Mytilus edulis: one gene and its partner. The protein of the gene in region 1 interacts with the protein of each later gene in a biochemical or structural test. Links are inferred from orthologs where the notes say so. Each region holds a gene or a part of one and is shown on either strand. Other genes may lie near its edges. The genes, in order: adenine DNA glycosylase-like and exodeoxyribonuclease-like.

Region 1 (9,945 bases):
AGTATATAGTATCAACATCAATCCCTACAAGACTGTGAATTTGGTATTGACATATTTTTGGTTAATATACCATAGCAAGTGTAGTTTATCATAGTTGTGTTATAAAAGGTTTCCAGACTAATAAAAGCCTTCATTTAAAACAAGTTCAATATATAAAGTTATCAAAGGTACCAGGATTATAATATAATACGCCAGACGCGCGTTTCGTCTATATAAGACTCAACAGTGTTATAAAGCCAAAAAAATATTCATTTTATAATTTTTATATATTGGTACAATTCATTTATGTTGTATCCACATAAAGATTTTTTTTATTCACGTAGGAATAGTTAAAAGGTTGATACAATTTATTTTTAATGCTGAATGTGTATACTTTTAGCTATAAACGAATGCACCAGTAATCCATGTAGGAATAATGGAACATGTGTAGATCTTATCAATGGGTATCGTTGTCACTGTTCAAATGATTCTACAGGACAACATTGTGAACATCGTAAGTCAGAATACATTATGTATAAAGTTACTATATAAATCCATTTATCATGTGGTATCTCATAAAAAAAACTTGAAATAAATATAAGGGCATCCCTTCATTTCTAAAAATGTAAAACAAAAAAATTGTAAGTCGATGCGGATCACACAATTCCATGGCCAAAATAATTAAAATACAAAACGTACTCTACTATCATCAAAACATGTTAAGAAAGAGCTGAAAAAAGACCGGAGGTCTCAGCAGTTTCTGATTCAAGATTGACATCTGGCGTCCTTCACTTGTGTAAATTAACGAATCAGAAAATAAAACGGAAATATTAAATTGAAACCTTTTCTTAGTATCGGTATAAGATTGTTAAATATATAAAACAAAACGTTTCCATTATGAACCCTTGGTGTTATCCATGATAAAAAGAAAAAAAACTGCTATTTCTGTGGTGTCAAGTAAATGCAATAATAATTGCCTCAAATATTAACCTAAGTAGACATGGAATTCATCATAAAAAAGACATCCTTTAACAGCATAACGTGCTGTTCAATATAATGAAATGTTACTTCTTCCATATGTAATGAGAATTCCGTAAATGGAATATGCATCATACGAATAAATAGATGATAGATGGATCCAGGGATCTACATGGCCTGTTTAACGATGGCGCCCCGCCATCGTTCAAATGTCTTGCGCCATCGTCAAATGACTCGCGCCATCGTTAAATTGTCTTGCGCCATCGTTAAATTGTCTTCCGATCGATTTTGTTGTGTTCTATTTGTTTGTCTTAGTGCAATTTGTTTCTTTAAATATAAACCAGTATGACTGTTTGTAGGAATGAATCATTGCTCCTCACATCCATGCTTACATGATGGTACCTGCATGAACAATTATGATGGGTTTAAATGTGAATGTATAGATTCCTGGTTCGGTGATATATGCGAGGAAAGACATACTAATGAATCTGAGGTAAAGTTAATTTACGACAAACAGGAGACTCAGGGTATATATAAAAATTTGAAGATGCTTTATGATTGCCAATGAGACGGCTATAAACCTATAGAAATTTTGGATCCGCAGTGCTCCTCAACTTTGTACATTTGTCCCCCTTTTTCCCTTTTTGGTTCCAGCTACAGTGATGCGTCTTTTGTAGATTTTTCGCTCGTCTGGCGTACACAATTCTAATCCTGGTATATATCTATGATGAGTTTATCCATAAGATATTAAATGATATATTTAGTAGCGTGAATAACAAAAATCTCTACCACATGAAAATAGCAAACTATTCAAGACCCCAACACGACAAAATTTGAAACAATTCCAACAGGAAAACCAATGTATGTACAAAGAAATAAACGATAAACAAATATAATAACAGCAGCAAAGGACAACAACTAAATTACAGGCTCATGACTAATAGGGACAGGTGCAAACGTAATGTGGTTCGGTTTAAAATGGTTAAAGGGTGCCAAACCCTCTACTAACGAACAAAATGTAAAAATAAGTTGAAAAATTCTTGAATCATCAGTCAAAACAAACATATAAAAAAACTCTCAAAACACAATGTATTGATCTGAGAGTACTCACAGTTACTGCAAGCAAGTTCAGAGCCAATAACTACTAATAAAAAATTAACGACCATATACAAAATATCAACCAGTGCACATCCAATTGTTAAAGACATAAACAGTCTGTAAAAAACACGAATTTGTGCCATGCTTAAATATAAGTGTCAAAAGAATGTATGAATGTAATAATTGTAAAGCAATGCGTATTAGTCGTAAAGATGTATTGTATACCACAAGCAAACAAAACAAGGAGTTGGTTGTATACACATTTGTACCCTTGTATCATTGTTATTGTGTAATATAAAGCGGGTATCACGAACTCTGACCAGACATACACATACTGTCGTGATACTTTTGTGTCCTTAGTTTGCATTAACCGTCAGAGAAGGTTATAACTCACACAAAAAAACATTGCTCTAATGGGTTAATTGAAATGTATTATAAGTACTAAAATTCAGACAGAGAGACAAGAGGTAAACAGGTGTGTTTTCTGGATCAATTACAGTATACTAAATAGTAATGTCTTTACAAGTGGTTCCAGTGATAACTATGGAATGACATTACAGAGTACTAAATTGTATGAAAGATTGGCGAAAGATACCAGAGGGACATTCAACTAATAAATTTGAAATAAACTGACAACGCCATGGCTTAAAAAAAGAGGGAAAAAAACCAGACACAAAACAACATAGAAAAATAAGGACTAAACAATACGAACACAGGCACTGGTCTCATATTTTTTTCCCTATATACAAAGAACCTTTATGTACCAGGATTTTTTTCTAAGACACATGCCTGTGAATATGAACCCCTCCAAAAACTGGGTTGATATCATGTGCTCCGGAAGGGTAAGACCTGTCAAATCTAAGAACTTGCATATCGTTCTAAGTGTGTGGGTGTTGTTTTGCGTACTACTTTTGATTCTGTTTACCTCTTTTTCTTTTTTCAGGGTTGTTCGGTTTTAGAATATTCTGAGTGTTCTTGTTTTACTCAACAGTCGAAACAGAGCAGAAAATCGAATAAAATGTTGCTAGGATCTATTGGGTATGCAATCGGATTATTACTAACGATCTTATCTTACTGTGCTTGGATGATGCTTAATAAATCAAAAAGTGACAGTAAAATTCACCCACATGAAGCAACAATTTTACAACATGAAGTCTTCCAAGAGAGTGAAATCGCCAAGAAGCCAGCGCAATCCTCTCACAGAGTCAATAAACTTCATGAAGCAAGGCTAAGAAAACAAAAACAACAGAAAGAACACCACAACTGTTTCTTAGATCATAGTGGATTTGATTTTTCTAAACTATATGTTAACGAAGATGGGAGTCGGAAAATTCTAAAATGTCGGCATCAAAGAGTACAAAATGACAGTTAAGAATATCGAAATGTACTTAATAAAATTTTAGACATTTCATAAATGTTCATGTAAACATGGTAAATATAATTGAGGATATTTTTTATCTAAAAATGTATCTAGATATTTGTATAATGGTGTAATAAAATGCTGTTCGTGTTTATAAAGTCTTATGCTTGAGTTTTGCTATTAAAAAAGTACCGATACACAAGTACGAACTCGAATTCGTCATGACATATAACAGGGAAAAAAATAATCTATCCAAATCTTATCCTGTCGAAGCACGAGATCTCTCTCCTTTAAAATTTCATGTGATTACCATTTTTTTTTTTTTTTTACATTTATTAAATTGTAACACATGGAAACTGTTGTTGCATGAATTTAGCTTTAATGCCGGTTTAATAAATTTATTTAAGAAATAATTAAAATTATGTAAGAAATATTTAGCGTTTTTTGTCTTGAATTAATCAATGGTTTGGTTGAGAAAACCACACTTTTTATATTGGAGACCAATTCAATAGACCCTTAGTCTTATAGTTCATCCAATTTCGTTATATATGAAATTTGTTGTACATTGCCTACCATCTAATAATTAGTTGACTAGCATATTAAATTAAAGCTGTATTTCACTCGAAAGAGAACAAAATTCCCGTAGATTTAACATTTGACAGGTATACACCTGTTCCGCAAACTGTATTTGAGCTTGTTTGCACAAGTTGACATGAATGCCACGCTCCATTGTACATTTGCCTTAATTTAATATACCATTGAAGAAACATTGTATGCTTTTGATAAAAAAAATAATTACGTCAGTCAAGAACTTCTTTCCGAACCGAGCTTGAAACTTTGAAGAATTATGGTATAAAAGTAAAATATAAAAAAATGCTGAACTCAAAGGGAAATTCAAAACGGAAAATCAACTATCAAATGGCAAAACCAAAAGGTCAGACACATCAAACGAATGGCAAACAGCTGTTTTCCTGATTTGCCAAAACCTACAAGGTCGTTGCAACAGTAACATCCTTCCGAAGCGTATGGGTTCAACCGCAATGTTTTGTGAAGTTTGTGTTTAATATAATTTCAAATTGGGTTTTGAGCAGCTTTCTTAGTTAATTATTTTTGTACTCTTGGTCAATGTCGGTAGTTTTTTTTTTGGTCGTTTTTTTCTATCTCATTTTGTTATACTTACTTATTTAATGTTATTTTTCATTAAAACCTACATATCATTTAGCTAGGTTGAATGAAAGATAATTAGTTCTAATTCGAGTTACTAAAATTTTGGATCTCAAATGACTGATATATACATTTTTACTAAGATTAGCAAAAATGGATATAGAAATGCGATGATTTTCCATTAATTTTCACTTAAAAGGGCACTAGCTGTCAAATTCATGCTCACTGGTTTTAATCAAATTCTCATATTCGATTTATAACAATGTAAAACATTTATCCAAACTATCAAAAGTCTAAAATAAACAAGTAACAGGAGACAGGCATAAAAATATGTTGCTTCGTTTCGTGTGTATTTTAGTCCATACGCCTTCTAATTAACTATCGAGTTGACCTCTTAAGTCATCCGATGACCATATTTAAGCGATGTAAACATAAATATACTTGTAGATATAAATAGATTAAGCAAACTCGTGCTGTTGGATTTTTCTAGGTCTATTAATTTCATATTATAAATGAAAAATAAATGTTTATCAACGTTTTTATCTGTATAAGAATGATTTTTTTGTGGATCGGATCAGTCAATCAAACTATTTACCTTTGTTTCACTTTCAATGTTGACATTCTTTTCCTTAAAAATCTTTGCACATACAACTCACTTGTTATCCATCTCAAGCTTAGGGGTTAAATTGAAGTTTACATGAAAACGGATTCAATGAGGCCGAGTTATTCACTTGCAAGTGAATAATTCATAATCAATGTGTTTTAGCTTAATATTTTGACAAAATTTAACCATACTGGCTGCTAACCAGCGAATTATTATTTCACTATTTGCATTTCATTAATGATTGAGCAAAAAATATTAGATTTTTATTATATATCTCGTAGCTAGTGCCCCTTTAATAGTACATATATTTGGTCATTTATAATGGTAAAAAAATATTATACACTTTTTTATTAGACATTTATACTGATATCATGTAAAATGGGAATTAACTCTTGAATCTTTACTAAATTTGCAGTGAATTGTACATCTTTCTTAAAAATGTAATTGATACAATGTTTTGGTAACTAAACAATCATTCTCATTTTGTTTCTAAATTGTTCATAGCCCTGAAATAATTTGGCTTATCTGAGTAAACAGAACGTCAGAACTTTGATTTGTAACGATGTGCTAAATCCGTTCATATTATCCTAAATGTCATTGTGAATAATTCGTCTAGAGAAAAGACAAATTAAAAAGGAAAATGAACCTTGTACAAAACTGAATCCGGACACCTTCCAATCGTAATATCATTTTATAGTGCTCCAACAAAGGAGAAAGTAAATAACAAATTACGTTCACCGTTTCTGCAACGAATATTAACGTTTCCTTCCCTTATGTAAATGATACCCCTCCTTTCCCGCCGACTTCAAAATTTGTTTGTGATCATGGTTAAAAGGAAAATACATCAAAATGGTACATCAGGTTAGAACATATGCCTCAAGAAACTGCATAAGACAAATATTGTAATAAATTGGTTAATAATAACCGATTCAGTTGTCCTCGTTTTTATTTTCGGGGATGTTTATGTGAATTTTTGAGCTTGCTTACATAACATGATTATCTTTAAACAATTCCACTGAAAAAGCATGCATAGAGCGAATTCTTATGAAATAAAATCTGACTAAAATACATCACATAATTTCACATTGTCTTATCTCTAGGTAGACAAGTACCGACGAATTATTCACAGTCACTTTTGGATTTAGCCCATGGTTACTAATCAAAGTTCTGACGTTCTGTTTACTCAGATAAGGCCAAAAAAAAAATAGGTGTGTTTCCTGTTGCATGCCCCAAAAAATTAGGGTCGGTAGGTAGGTATTTTTTTTTTTTTTTTTTTTTTTTTTTTTCACTGGCCTGCTTCGGTTGTTTTTTGTGTATTTTTATAATCAGTTTGTTATTCTTTCAGGTTATTTTCATCAGTTCATTGTATAAAGTATACAAGATATGAATAGTCCATGTTCAAAAGTTGCAGAAGACTTGGCCAGGACTTCCAGCTTATAAAATTTTCAAACTTTTCAGAACTGATATGCCATCTGTACGGGTCAGGCTATAGTCTTACACAGAAAGCCCATCAAAGTCTGTCTCAGCAAAGACCTGTTTTATAATCAGTTTCTTTCAGACAATTTAGTTCACAGAACTGATGCCAGCTTTTTCCAGTCACAGTAAATTCATTGTTCTTTAATCCAAAGTCATGATACTGATTGAATATATCAATAAAGGTGGTAGAATTAATAGAAAATGGGGCTATTATACTTTTTTTCTCGTTCCTGTGTGGACACTCATCGATTGTTATTGATAACACACTTTGACTGATGGCCATAGCAGAAGCCATGCCGTTGTTTGACTTCAATCTGTATCACACAAATGCTTACTGTATTAAAATTTTATTTGAAATCAAACGTTTAAAAGATGCCATTCAAAGGCTATACTAAACAAAAACCGTTTCCGGAAAAAAACGAAAAAAATCCGGATTTTTTGTTTGTTTTTTTTTTCCGGGAAAAAAAAGTTAGGGTCGGCGCCAAAAAATTAGGGTCGGTCGGGCGACCGGAAACACACCTATTTTTTTTTTTGGCCTAAGCCAAATTATTTCTGGGGTATGAACGAATTAGAAAAAAGGTAGTAGTTGACAGACAGCTGACCTGCACTGTCGGACTTTCATCAAGGCTCTGTTCTTGGCCCATGTCTTTTCCTAATTTACATAAATGACATGCCAGACAACCTCAAAAGTAATGTGCGCCTCTTTGCAGATGATACCATTATGTATTTAACAATAACATCACTTATTGATTGTCACACCATTTAATCTAGTCTGAGTTAACTCTTAGATGTCCCATATCCATCAGGTCTTTTGAAAAAAGAATTTATAGGTGTGTAAAGGAGGTGCAAATTATTTTTTGAGTTTGTCACTGCAAATGCAGCACGAGGTGTCAGAATGGACTTCATGTCATCAATGAGTACCATTCAAAGGTTCAGATGGTATGTGCAAAAAAACGCGCGAATTTCATTTTAAAATTTTATTTGAAAAAAAGAACATTATACGTCAATTGATCTATCTCTATATCCACCATTTGGTGGATTATACGTCAATTGAGGTATTATACGTCAATTGGTGGTTATTCCTGACCTGTCCATGATATCAAAAAGTGGATATTTGCCTATTCAAAATGGATGAGCTGCTTTCTTGCTTCTGGGGCTGACTGACGGTCTTGGATCATATAAATCGCCTCAATTTGTTCATTTTACATTTATCTCTTTATTTTTAAGCAGTTAAGCTGCTTTTTTCGAGCACCCTAGATTTATGTTCTACCCAATAAATGATGAAATATGTGCCACTTTTATTATCTGGCTGGCTATCATGTTATTTATAATTAATTGGGCACTTTTTTCATACTTTTTATTTTGGAATATAAAAAATATTACCATAAAAATGTTAAATGGTCGTCGATTTTCCCAAAAGTTTTGAAGTTGCACATAGGAAGTAGTGCTCGATAGAAATCCTTCTATAGTTTATTACCCCCTGTGCTGTGGGCTAAGATGTCAAAGAACAATTGTATGAAATATTTGATCGCTAAAAATCTATAAAGATGAGTCGTTTACATTTCCCAGATAGCAAAAGTCGTAGGAATATTGTTTGTCATCGATACGTATTACATACGTCAGTAGTCTATTAATAAGCTGATATAAGTTGGCGGTAATTTCAAATTACATAGAAGACGAAATTTAGGTACCTTTTAAATTGGGAGAATTCTGATGATATATCGGTACTTTATTATTAATCATTTTATTCGTTTTTTTGTCTGATTGAGATTATTTCAATCATCTTTATTCAGTAATCTTTAATGTATGCTCATTTGTTTTCTTGTTAATATTATTCCGATTTCTAGCAAATCACCTTCATGCTTGTCAAATTAAGTTTCTGATTGGTCGATGTCAAGGTCATTTTAAGCTTGTTTCCCTTTGGTGTTACACAATGTAACATAATGCTACACGTGCTTTGATTAAGCTCGATGTGGTTCAATAAATATTGTGATATAAACTTTAACAACTGTTTTCTAAAGGACGGCATTATTTAACTTCAAAGTCGCATATTTTGTAAAATATTAAGTCCGAATCTGTGACACGTATCACATCGTAATTGTTTTTGATTTACAAGGACTTTTCGATTTCCGGTACAGAAAAATACGACTTTTTTATATGTTTCTTTTTATAATTTTTCACATTCAAACACTCGTTAAGTGTTATTGAATCAATTCTATGCGGTTCCTTCAGCAACTTTATGCTGGTAAACGATTTCCCCATTAAAATAATAAGAAAAGAAATCGCATGATACGATAAAAAGGTAACGAGTCGACTAGTCCGAGATTACTCTGACGTCTAACGGCTATTTTGCCAGACAAGCAGGGGCCCTGGGCCCACGGCCCCAGCTTGTCTGGCAAAACAGCCGTTTAGACGTCAGAGTAATCACGGACTAGTTACCAATGGATCTTTAAAGCAGGGAGAAACTCCTACACCCAAAGGATTGCTTTTGCTGGCCCCTTAACACAATAACCATGATAACAAAAATGTAAACTATTTCAACTAGTCACTTGTTCAGGTGGAACTTTTAAACCAGAGGAAGAACAAAGTAACTACAATGTAGTTGATAAGTTCTGGAGAACTTTACGGCTAGTTAGTTCTTTCTGCCTGGAACTTTCCAACGTCGGAACAAAAGAGCATTTACAATAACTTGGACATCATACTAAAATCAGAAGTATACACAAGAAATTAATAAAATTTTAAAAAATGTACAAAACAATTATGAAAAATAAATATGATATACAGCAACAATCACCGCATTAGTGGGTCCTCACTATGGACAGGTACATACAGAATGTGGCAGCTTAAAAATCTTAACTGGCACAAAACTCTCCCCTAACATAGGACAGTGTATGTGTATAATCTCAGACATTGAATCTTTATAAATATAAATTGGAAATAACTTTTGAAAGTGGTAGGATTGCATAACATAAACATTACTGTACAAGCATTATTTGATACTTTAGAAATAGCTGAGAACAATGCCTGAGATAAATATTTTGACTAATTCTTTACACTATTCATGAATCTGAACGTGGCCAAGTTTGCCTTTGGGTTTTTGATTAACTGCCTATAGCACCCTTTGATGCTTTGATTGTAAGTTTAATCTCACATCTGAGAAAAAAATTACACATGACCTTTTCAAAAACTGCAGGAAACAATATGATATGGGACTGGCTCTGACATCCCTCAGCACCAGCTTGTCTGGCAAAACAGCTGTTGGACGTTCAAGTAATCTCGTTGGACG
Region 2 (9,343 bases), on another chromosome or scaffold:
TAAAATTAACTACTCAACTCTGTCCAATTTCACATATAGATGTACATAACATTGTCAATATATACATGTACATAACATTGTCAGTTTATACATGGACATAACATTGTCAGTATATACATGGACATAACATTGTCAGTATATACATGGACATAACATTGTCAATATATACATGGACATAACATTGTCAATATATACATGGACATAACATTGTCAGTATATACATGGACATAACATTGTCAGTATATACATGGACATAACATTGTCAATATATACATGTACATAACATTGTCAATATATACATGGACATAACATTGTCAGTATATACATGGACATAACATTGTCAATATATACATGGACATTACATTGTCAGTATATACATTGTCAGTATATACATGGACATAACATTGTCAGTATATACATGGACATAACATTGTCAGTATATACATGGACATAACATTGTCAGTATATACATGGACATAACATTGTCAATATATACATGGACATAACATTGTCAGTATATACATGGACATAACATTGTCAGTATATACATGGACATAACATTGTCAGTATATACATGGACATAACATTGTCAGTATATACATGGACATAACATTGTCAGTATATACATGGACATAACATTGTCAGTATATACATGGACATAACATTGTTAGTATATACATGGACATAACATTGTCAATATATACATGGACATAACATTGTCAGTATATACATGTACATAACATTGTTAGTATATACATGTACATAACAATGTCAATATATACATGGACATAACATTGTCAATATATACATGTTCATAACATTGTCAGTATATACATGTACATAACATTGTCAATATATACATGTACATAACATTGTCAGTATATACATGTATATTGTACATGTATGAGAAATGTTTGTGTCTGAGTTTGTTCATTAATTCCTTTAGAAAAGAACAAGCTAAAGTTTTGCTATTTCAAAGTATTTCAAAGAATAGCAGTAAAACTTTACAATCACAGATATTCTTCTACTCGAGTACATAATAGTTATACTGAATAATTCTACATTGCTTAGGTCTCCCAAAGGCTTGACATATGTATCTACTTTTGAAATCTATCACTTACCTTTAACCAAGCCCTGACACCATTAACATTCCACAACACAATAGTCTTGGTAAATTACCTTTAACCAAGCCCTGACACCATTAACATTCCACAACACAATGTCTTGGTAAATTACCTTTAATCAAGCCCTGACACCATTAACATTCCACAACACAATGTCTTGGTAAATTACCTTTAACCAAGCCCTGACACCATTAACATTCCACAACACAATGTCTTGGTAAATTACCTTTAACCAAGCCCTGACACCATTAACATTCCACAACACAATAGTCTTGGTAAATTACCTTTAACCAAGCCCTGACACCATTAACATTCCAGGACACAATAGTCTTGGTAAATTACCTTTAACCAAGCCCTGACACCATTAACATTCCAGGACACAATAGTCTTGGTAAATTACCTTTAACCAAGCCCTGACACCATTAACATTCCAGGACACAATAGTCTTGGTAAATTACCTTTAACCAAGCCCTGACACCATTAACATTCCACGACACAATAGTCTTGGTAAATTTCCTTCCATCCTTTGTTTTAGCATCAGGATTAATCTGTGTTGGGAATGAAGTATCTACATCATCAGGCAGATCTGTACTTGCTGTGCTGGACTTCTTTTCTATCTTTGTCTTCTTGGTGGTTGGTTCATCTTCTGCTTCTGTTGTCTTTTTGGTTGTTGCTTCAACATCTGTGACTGCCTTCTATAATAATATAATCAATCAAATGATTTTATTGGATAAACAAATTTAATGATAAAGCACATTAAATATTAAAATAAGGAGATGTGGTATGATTACCAATGAGACATGTGAGACAACTATCCACCAGAGTTTAAAAAATTAAAATGTTCTTTCTTTTTATCAGAAGATTGAATTTTCAAAAATATATACACCACATCTACTAAATTAAATTATTGTTCGGCTTCAAAATATATAACAATGCTGTACTGAACTTACTCACTATCGCTCGGGCAAAAATAATCACGAATATAATGCCTACCCATGTTAAAACTACAATAAAGTATAGCTTGCATCAATTATTTCTTAAATACTTTTGTAATTTTTATATCATTTGTATATTACTAAGATATTTGATTCCACAGGATATATGTATGTTTGTATATTTAATTAGATAATTGGATGAGCTCAAGTGATAAAATGGTATGCGTTTTAAATCAGGAGTGCCCTCTACCTGCGATTTCAATCCAATAAATGATTTATATTCAGTCTCAGCATCTACATAACCTTTTGAAACATTTTTCTAATAAATCATCATTACTATAAAAGTGCAATAAAGTTTTTTTAAAAGTTATTAAAGGTATATTTCTACCTCTTCTTCTTTTTTAAACTGAGTTTTACTGTGTGTATTGTTGAGTGTTTGTTTTTTCTACATTGGCTAGAGTTATAAGGGGATATCTCAAAAAACATGTTTAACCCTACCACATTTTAGCGCCTGTCCTAAGTCAGGAACCTCTGGCCTTTGTTAGTCTTGTATGATTTTTAAATTTAGTTTCTTGCGTATATTTCGGAGTCCATTATCACTGAACTAGTATACATTTTTGTTTAGGGGCCAGCTCAAGCATGCCAAGGAGCGAATGTTTCTCACTGCATTGGAGACCCATTGGTGGCTTGACTGTTTTCTGCTCTTTGATCGGGTTGTTGTCACTTTGACACATTCCCCATTTCCATTTTCAATTTGATATAAATATAATAAATGAAAGTATATACAACTAATTCTCTTTTAAAAAATATAAAATGAAAATATTGCTGAAACAACTTTTATTACATAGCATTATAGTCATGATAGAGGAACATGGACAAAACCAACAATTGAAGGCGAATTAAATGCAGCTGAACCATGGCCGAAAGGTAAAAAGCTCTCAAGAGCTTATGTTTTTATTGATATGTGTGAACTGGATCAAACTGAAACTTTCGTATTCATATTGTTTCCAATAATTTGTAATGTCAATGAAAACTTCTCATCTGACATTGTGATGATGCTGATAAAGCCAGCTCGATCATGTCTCAAAGCTGTAATACAAACATGACAAGAATAACTGACTGACTAAGCAGGACTAATTTTTATATTCTTATTATGGGGGAAATCAGATGTCGTATTTCCTAATGTGAACTTATTTTTAAAGGCATAAAAAGTATATGAATTAAATTATAAATTATGAAACAAAACAATCTCATTTTAAAAGTATAAATTAAAATGAAAATATTGCCAGAACTTTTATAAGGGTAGTAATGGGGGTACCTTCATGACAAAACGGTAAAAATTCTTGCCAAATGACATTCACAGTAATTTTAGGTGTATGACAGTAAAATGTACACTACATCCTTCAGACGATAAAAAAACATTGACTGATTTTGACAAATCAAGTTATTTTTTAAAAAAATGACAGAAATGATAAGGATATTTTGACAAATCACTGTAAAATTTTAACCAATTTGACGCTAACGGTAGCCGAAAATGACTGTTTGACGCCTGATGTCAAAGGCATTACTATCCTCTTTTATCATATGGCTGAAGTGGTACATGGACTAGACGACCAAGACTGAATCAACTAAGGCTGAACCATGGACGTGTAGCGAAATCGGTTTTTATATATTTGAAATTATATGTAGGATGGCTAATTTCAATTTACAATTCATTTTCATTGTTATTATTTTGCTTACATGATTGTATCCAGGGTAACCTAAAAAGTGTAGTTGATTTCTATTGGTTAATCAGTAAGGATTCTCAGTGTTTTACATAAGATAAATGATTAAAAGCTTTTCTTTTCTTCTTGGTAGTAATCAATAGTTGTTTAGATTAAAATATTTTCGCAAGAAATATTAGTTAACTAAAGGGATATTGAGATCAATGTCAATTATCAGAAGTAGAGTGTAGATTTGTTGGTAAAGGTGTGTTCGAAGAGTAGACACACGTATTGTTGATTTATACACACGATAAAAAAAACTCATCATTACAATGTATAAATACCTGAGGCTGAGTTAACATTATAGCTGACTTTACCAAATAAAACACACAGATAATAAAAGAAAGATACTGATACATATACAAATACTAAGGTCAAACTGTCTCCTGTTACAGAGTTCGTTTCCCACTGAGGGTCTGAGCACTGAAGATACTTTATTTTCTCAATTTGCATATAAAATATTTATTTCACAATGTTTTACATACACACACACACAGAGCTTAGAAACTGACAAAACATTTTTTAGCTGATTATATTTATATATTTTTACCTTTCTTTTTGGTGGCATGGTACTTAACTTCGCTGAACTGATGAATCTATTAAATGCCGGTATCAGCAAATTTCTATTTACAAACAACATTCACAATAGAAAATTTCCCGCCATATGTACTTTTATTCCGAAACGAATTACTTTAAAAACGATGTAAAGTATTTAAAGTCATCCTTACTTTTTGCAGAAACCGACTACTAAGCTTAAACAAATTTATAGTTCATTTGAAAGACATGTAATATAACATGTCTTTTCATTGTTAATAAAGCATTAGCTTTGATCGTATCATTGTTTCGTTTATATGTGATTCCGTATTTTTAATTAAACGGGCACCTGCCGGAAGTTTACATTTGCTAAGTTACGCATGGACGTTCTAAAAGCTGACTTTCTCCCTTGACAGTTGAGGTTTTTTTTTTCTGATTTCACAAATTCAGTTCATTGTCATGGATAATTTGCTTATCATATGTATGAATTAATATTTCATATACTGTGCAAAATGTGGTACTATCTCAAATTATTAATTATGCATACATTTATTCCAAACAGAACACTGTTCAGCTGTTCAGAAATACCAGTACATAACTATAGTGGAGAAATAAAATATTAATTTGCCTCATTATGTTGAAGAAGAGTCAATACACAATGTACCTGATTCTTCCGGTCTTTGATTTATTGCCAGGGAGCACATACGGATTGGGGATGACTTAGGACACTCAGGCTGACAGCAAATTTGGAATAGAAAATATCTACTTTTTGTGACAAAATTGAGAAACAATGGATTATTTTGAAGATGACTTACACCGATGTATTATTCAGGGTGATGCTGAAACACTACGTGAATATTTGAAGAAAGGCTTGGATGTTAACCATGCTTTTAGAAGCAACGAAAGACCAGAAAGAGTTGGAAAAACAATGGTGGAAACTGCAATAGAAAATGATCAAATTAATATTGTGCAAGCTTTAGTACAAAATGGATGTAACACGAATCTAAAATATATAGTGGATGTTTTCAACTATACATACATTTTAAAACCATATAAAAAGAGAGAGCGACTAAAATTAACAATTATGTTCAAGTGCATTGTTAAAGAAGATGTCCCAATGGTTAAACTTCTTGTTCAAGGTGGATTTGATGTGAACATTGTTGATGACCGTGGATGGTCTCCATTGTTACATGCTGTTGATATGGATAACTATGAAATGGTGAAAGCGATTCTGATCAGTGATAAATGTGATGTTAATATAAAAGATACAGCTAATCTTAGGCCCCTTCACATGGCTGCCATGCATGCCAACAGTAAAATAGCTTCCCAGCTGGTACGTAGAGGTGCAAAGGTTGATGTTGTGCAAATCAGAGGCTGGACACCTCTTATTCTGACATGTCGTGCAAACTGTGTACAGACTACCCGCTTGCTACTGTTGAATGGAGCCAATCCAAATCATACTGGATTAAACGGTCATACCCCACTTTCTACAGCCCTCCAATTTAGCACTTGTAAAGAAATTCCAGAAATGCTGTTAGAAGCAGGTGCATCAGTGGACATAACTTTAATTAAAAGATGCCAAAGTGAAAAATTCCAAAATCTCATTCTCCACCCTGAGCTGATGGTACTGATTAAGTATTGTGCAGAATCTCCTCAAACTTTGAGAACTCTTTCTTGTCTTGTTATCAGGAATTCATTGATTCATTCATCACAAAACATTCATTTAATGAAAAAAGTGGAACAATTACCATTACCAAAACTCATAAAGGAGTATATCTTATTAGGACATTTGTAATTTGTGTAAATTGTTAATACACCTATCATGCCTATGTTTTGGATTATGATGGATCAAGAGTATAATGAAAAAAAGTCTTTTGATGATGACAAAAAAAGCAATTTTTCAACTGAACACAAGGACTCAATTAACCAATTGCAGTTTTGTACCTTTGTTTTCATTATGGCTTTTAAAAATCTAAATAAAAATAATTAATTTATTTAAACTATTTTTTTGTATCAACAATTAGTTAATAAAATACATGTCATGTTAACTGAAGAATATCAGTGTATATATAACTTATTTATTTTGGATTTTTGCCACATTACATAGAATTTAAAGGTTCACTAAACATTCACAATTACATTTTGTGCTGATAAATTTGAATTCATCATGTTCATAGTTAAAAAAAAAATTATTTCTTGCCCTCAAAGTAATTGCAATGTTTTTATCAAATCTACTGCAGCTTTTGATAAGTTATAAAGTATGTTTTATCTGATTTTATAATTATGTTGAGAGAAGGAGGTGAAAATGATGATGATACAACAGTATTAAATATCTCTTCAAAATATTGTAGTCTGTCATGAGTTTAAAAGATATAACCACAAATCACAGTGGTCTTCACACTTGTATGGTGATAAAAACATCTAAAATTCATGATTTCTTTTGTTCAGAAATTCACTGAGAATAAACAAAACTTTTAATTTCTGTTTTTTTTTACCACATTCTTATTCAATTGATCATTGCTTAACTATTATCTTATTGCTATTGGTTATCTTTCGATTATTTATCCAAAATACTTTTTCCCATGACCACACATACTTGAAACATGCTATAAATTGGGAATTGTGTATTGATTATGACATAAATTAATAAATAATTAATTATCTTAGTTATAAAACACTTCCACAGAGAATACTTATATAATTAAATCTGTGTCTTAATTAAAAAGATAAGCCTTCTTCAAACCTATATTGATTTTTGTATGTATTGCTAGATTGATGTGTCAGAAGTTTAGTATAACCAACACTGAAGAGTACTTCGTATCTTAATGTCTTATCATAAATATCAATTGATTACATAAAAAGTGGGTTTGTTTTCCACCATGTTCAGTATAAAACAACGATAATTTATTTATCAGGAAATTTTATAACATATTGTTTATCATGTTTATGTTTCAATATAAAACAATTTATACATGTTATTTGTAATGTTGTTTAAAGTGGTCTGTGTCCAAACCTAGCCAATCTTTATGATCTTAGTGGTCCATAAGTCTGTCCGTGTTCAGAGCCCCACCCCATCAGTCTATATGTTAACTTGTCTTGTGAATGACTACTAAAGCTATGATACTAATACTATGGAATGTGAGCTCCACTTGTTCCCAAATTATGTTTTATTTCCTTCATCAAGCTAGTGGCCATCCAGTTTGTAGCTTTACTGCAGGTTGTTTTTTCTTTATTGGATTGTTCTTTAAGACATATGGTCTAGGAAGATAAAGTGTGAACATAAAATGTGCTTGTAACAAGTCTGGCTGTCTGTACCACATGTTATTCTATTATGTGAATGTCTTAAGGGGAACTCAGGTTATTTTGGCGGGGTGTAAATTTTCGCTTATTTTCAGGGATAGAACAAAATCGACAAAATAAATTCTGCCAATTTAAAGTGTAGATGCAAAGGTATTGATAAAAGTTCTGAATCTGCCAAAATAATAACAGACAAAATATTTTGTATACTTTTTTCAATGAAAATCGCGAAATTTTACACCCGCTAAAATAACCCGCTATACAGTATGTCTGAATGTCTGCTGATAATTGTCAAAGGATCATAATCTGAGAAAAATGTAGGAACTGGGTGCTACACTAAATGGTGCACATTTTCAATGTATACACAACCATTGTTAAAGTTTGAAGGCTTTAGGAAGAAATCAAATAGGAGTTTATTTCAAAAATTAGACACATGTTTCATCATCCACAAGATTTACCCTTTGTGCAGCCAAGCCTATCATCAAGAACAATCAGGTAACATAAAGCACATATGACATAAAATCAAAATAAAACAACACACAAATATTTTCCAATTTTATTCTGCTTCTCCAAAGCAGTACATTATAGTTATACATTGTGGAATGTTAACTCTGTGAGCAACTAAATAAAAACAATCATAGCCAGTATACACTAAAACAGAACACTTCAATTTCAATATGTATATCACTCATACACATTCATGGGGAGAAACATGGAATTCTCAATATTAAATGCAGACAGTAGTTTTAAATTTACAGTATTTTTGTCACTTTTATTAACACATTTTTCGTCTGATCTTTTTGAAATCAGTTTAGAAACAAATGCCCAACTTGAGGTATCTAAATACTTTTGTGATTGAAATTTTTGATCATCAATGTCATGTTTTCAACTTGACAAATTAATTTAAAAAAAAAAGGTAACAAAAGATCTTTAAATACATGTGAAAATGAAACAATGTTTATAATGTTAAAATTATGTTCAAGTAGCATGTGCAAGTTTGAAAAAAAGATGAACTACATGTACTGAGTCCACTTGGCCACAATAACCCCTAAAAGCTGAACAACAAAACCTCTGAAGAATTCCACAAAAGTAAATTCAAATGGCAATTTGCATTTATGAGATAACTGTCTTAATATATTTCAATAGAAGTATAAAATTTAGATGAGGAACATGTTGAATATTGAAATCCCTTACAATCTCCTTTATAAGAATTCATCTGATAGATCTCTATCACTATACAACAAAGAGGTTTAATAATTAATGGCAGGTTTGTAAGAGATTTCACTATTTTCCTATTAAATCTGTCTATATTATATCTACATTCTAATTTATCAGTATGTTATAACCGTATAACATCAAATGGCACAGTTGACATAATATCTACAAATTAATTTGGTTTGACCAGTTAGTACAGTGACCACAACACATTGTCTGAAAGTTGAAACATATTTCTATTAACTTTGAAGGCCTTCACAGTTCTTAAGAAAAAAAAATTAAAATTTAGACTCTTATGCAGTCAATATATACACCAAAGAAATCCTCTCTTATATATAGCCAACCTTGATTTTGAAGATAGGGTGTACCGGTACTCCATAGTTTTTCCTGCTGACTTTACATACAAAGAGCTTTATATGACTATTACATACAATAGGCAATATGTGTAGTAGTCTTCTTGAAGCTACTTGATTTA

What was found.
Region 2: the proteins of adenine DNA glycosylase-like (region 1) and exodeoxyribonuclease-like form a complex in vitro, tested with the Homo sapiens proteins (3 studies listed by BioGRID and IntAct, with this or other methods). The link is inferred for Mytilus edulis from reciprocal best matches to the Homo sapiens genes MUTYH and APEX1.

What each region holds. Positions count from the first base shown.
Region 1 is NC_092348.1:3,361,984-3,371,928, forward strand, and holds the start of adenine DNA glycosylase-like, read left to right. Parts: upstream 1-5,952; 5' UTR 5,953-5,962; coding exon 5,963-6,044; intron 6,045-9,945. Other genes in the region: protein eyes shut homolog, read left to right, coding at 380-493, 1,317-1,450, 2,999-3,427. UniProt on the Homo sapiens protein: Involved in oxidative DNA damage repair. Initiates repair of A*oxoG to C*G by removing the inappropriately paired adenine base from the DNA backbone. Possesses both adenine and 2-OH-A DNA glycosylase activities.
Region 2 is NC_092353.1:831,064-840,406, forward strand, and holds the start of exodeoxyribonuclease-like, read right to left. Parts: upstream 4,521-9,343; 5' UTR 4,463-4,520; coding exon 4,373-4,462; intron 1,820-4,372; coding exon 1,583-1,819; intron 1-1,582. Other genes in the region: ankyrin repeat and SOCS box protein 8-like, read left to right, coding at 5,147-6,151.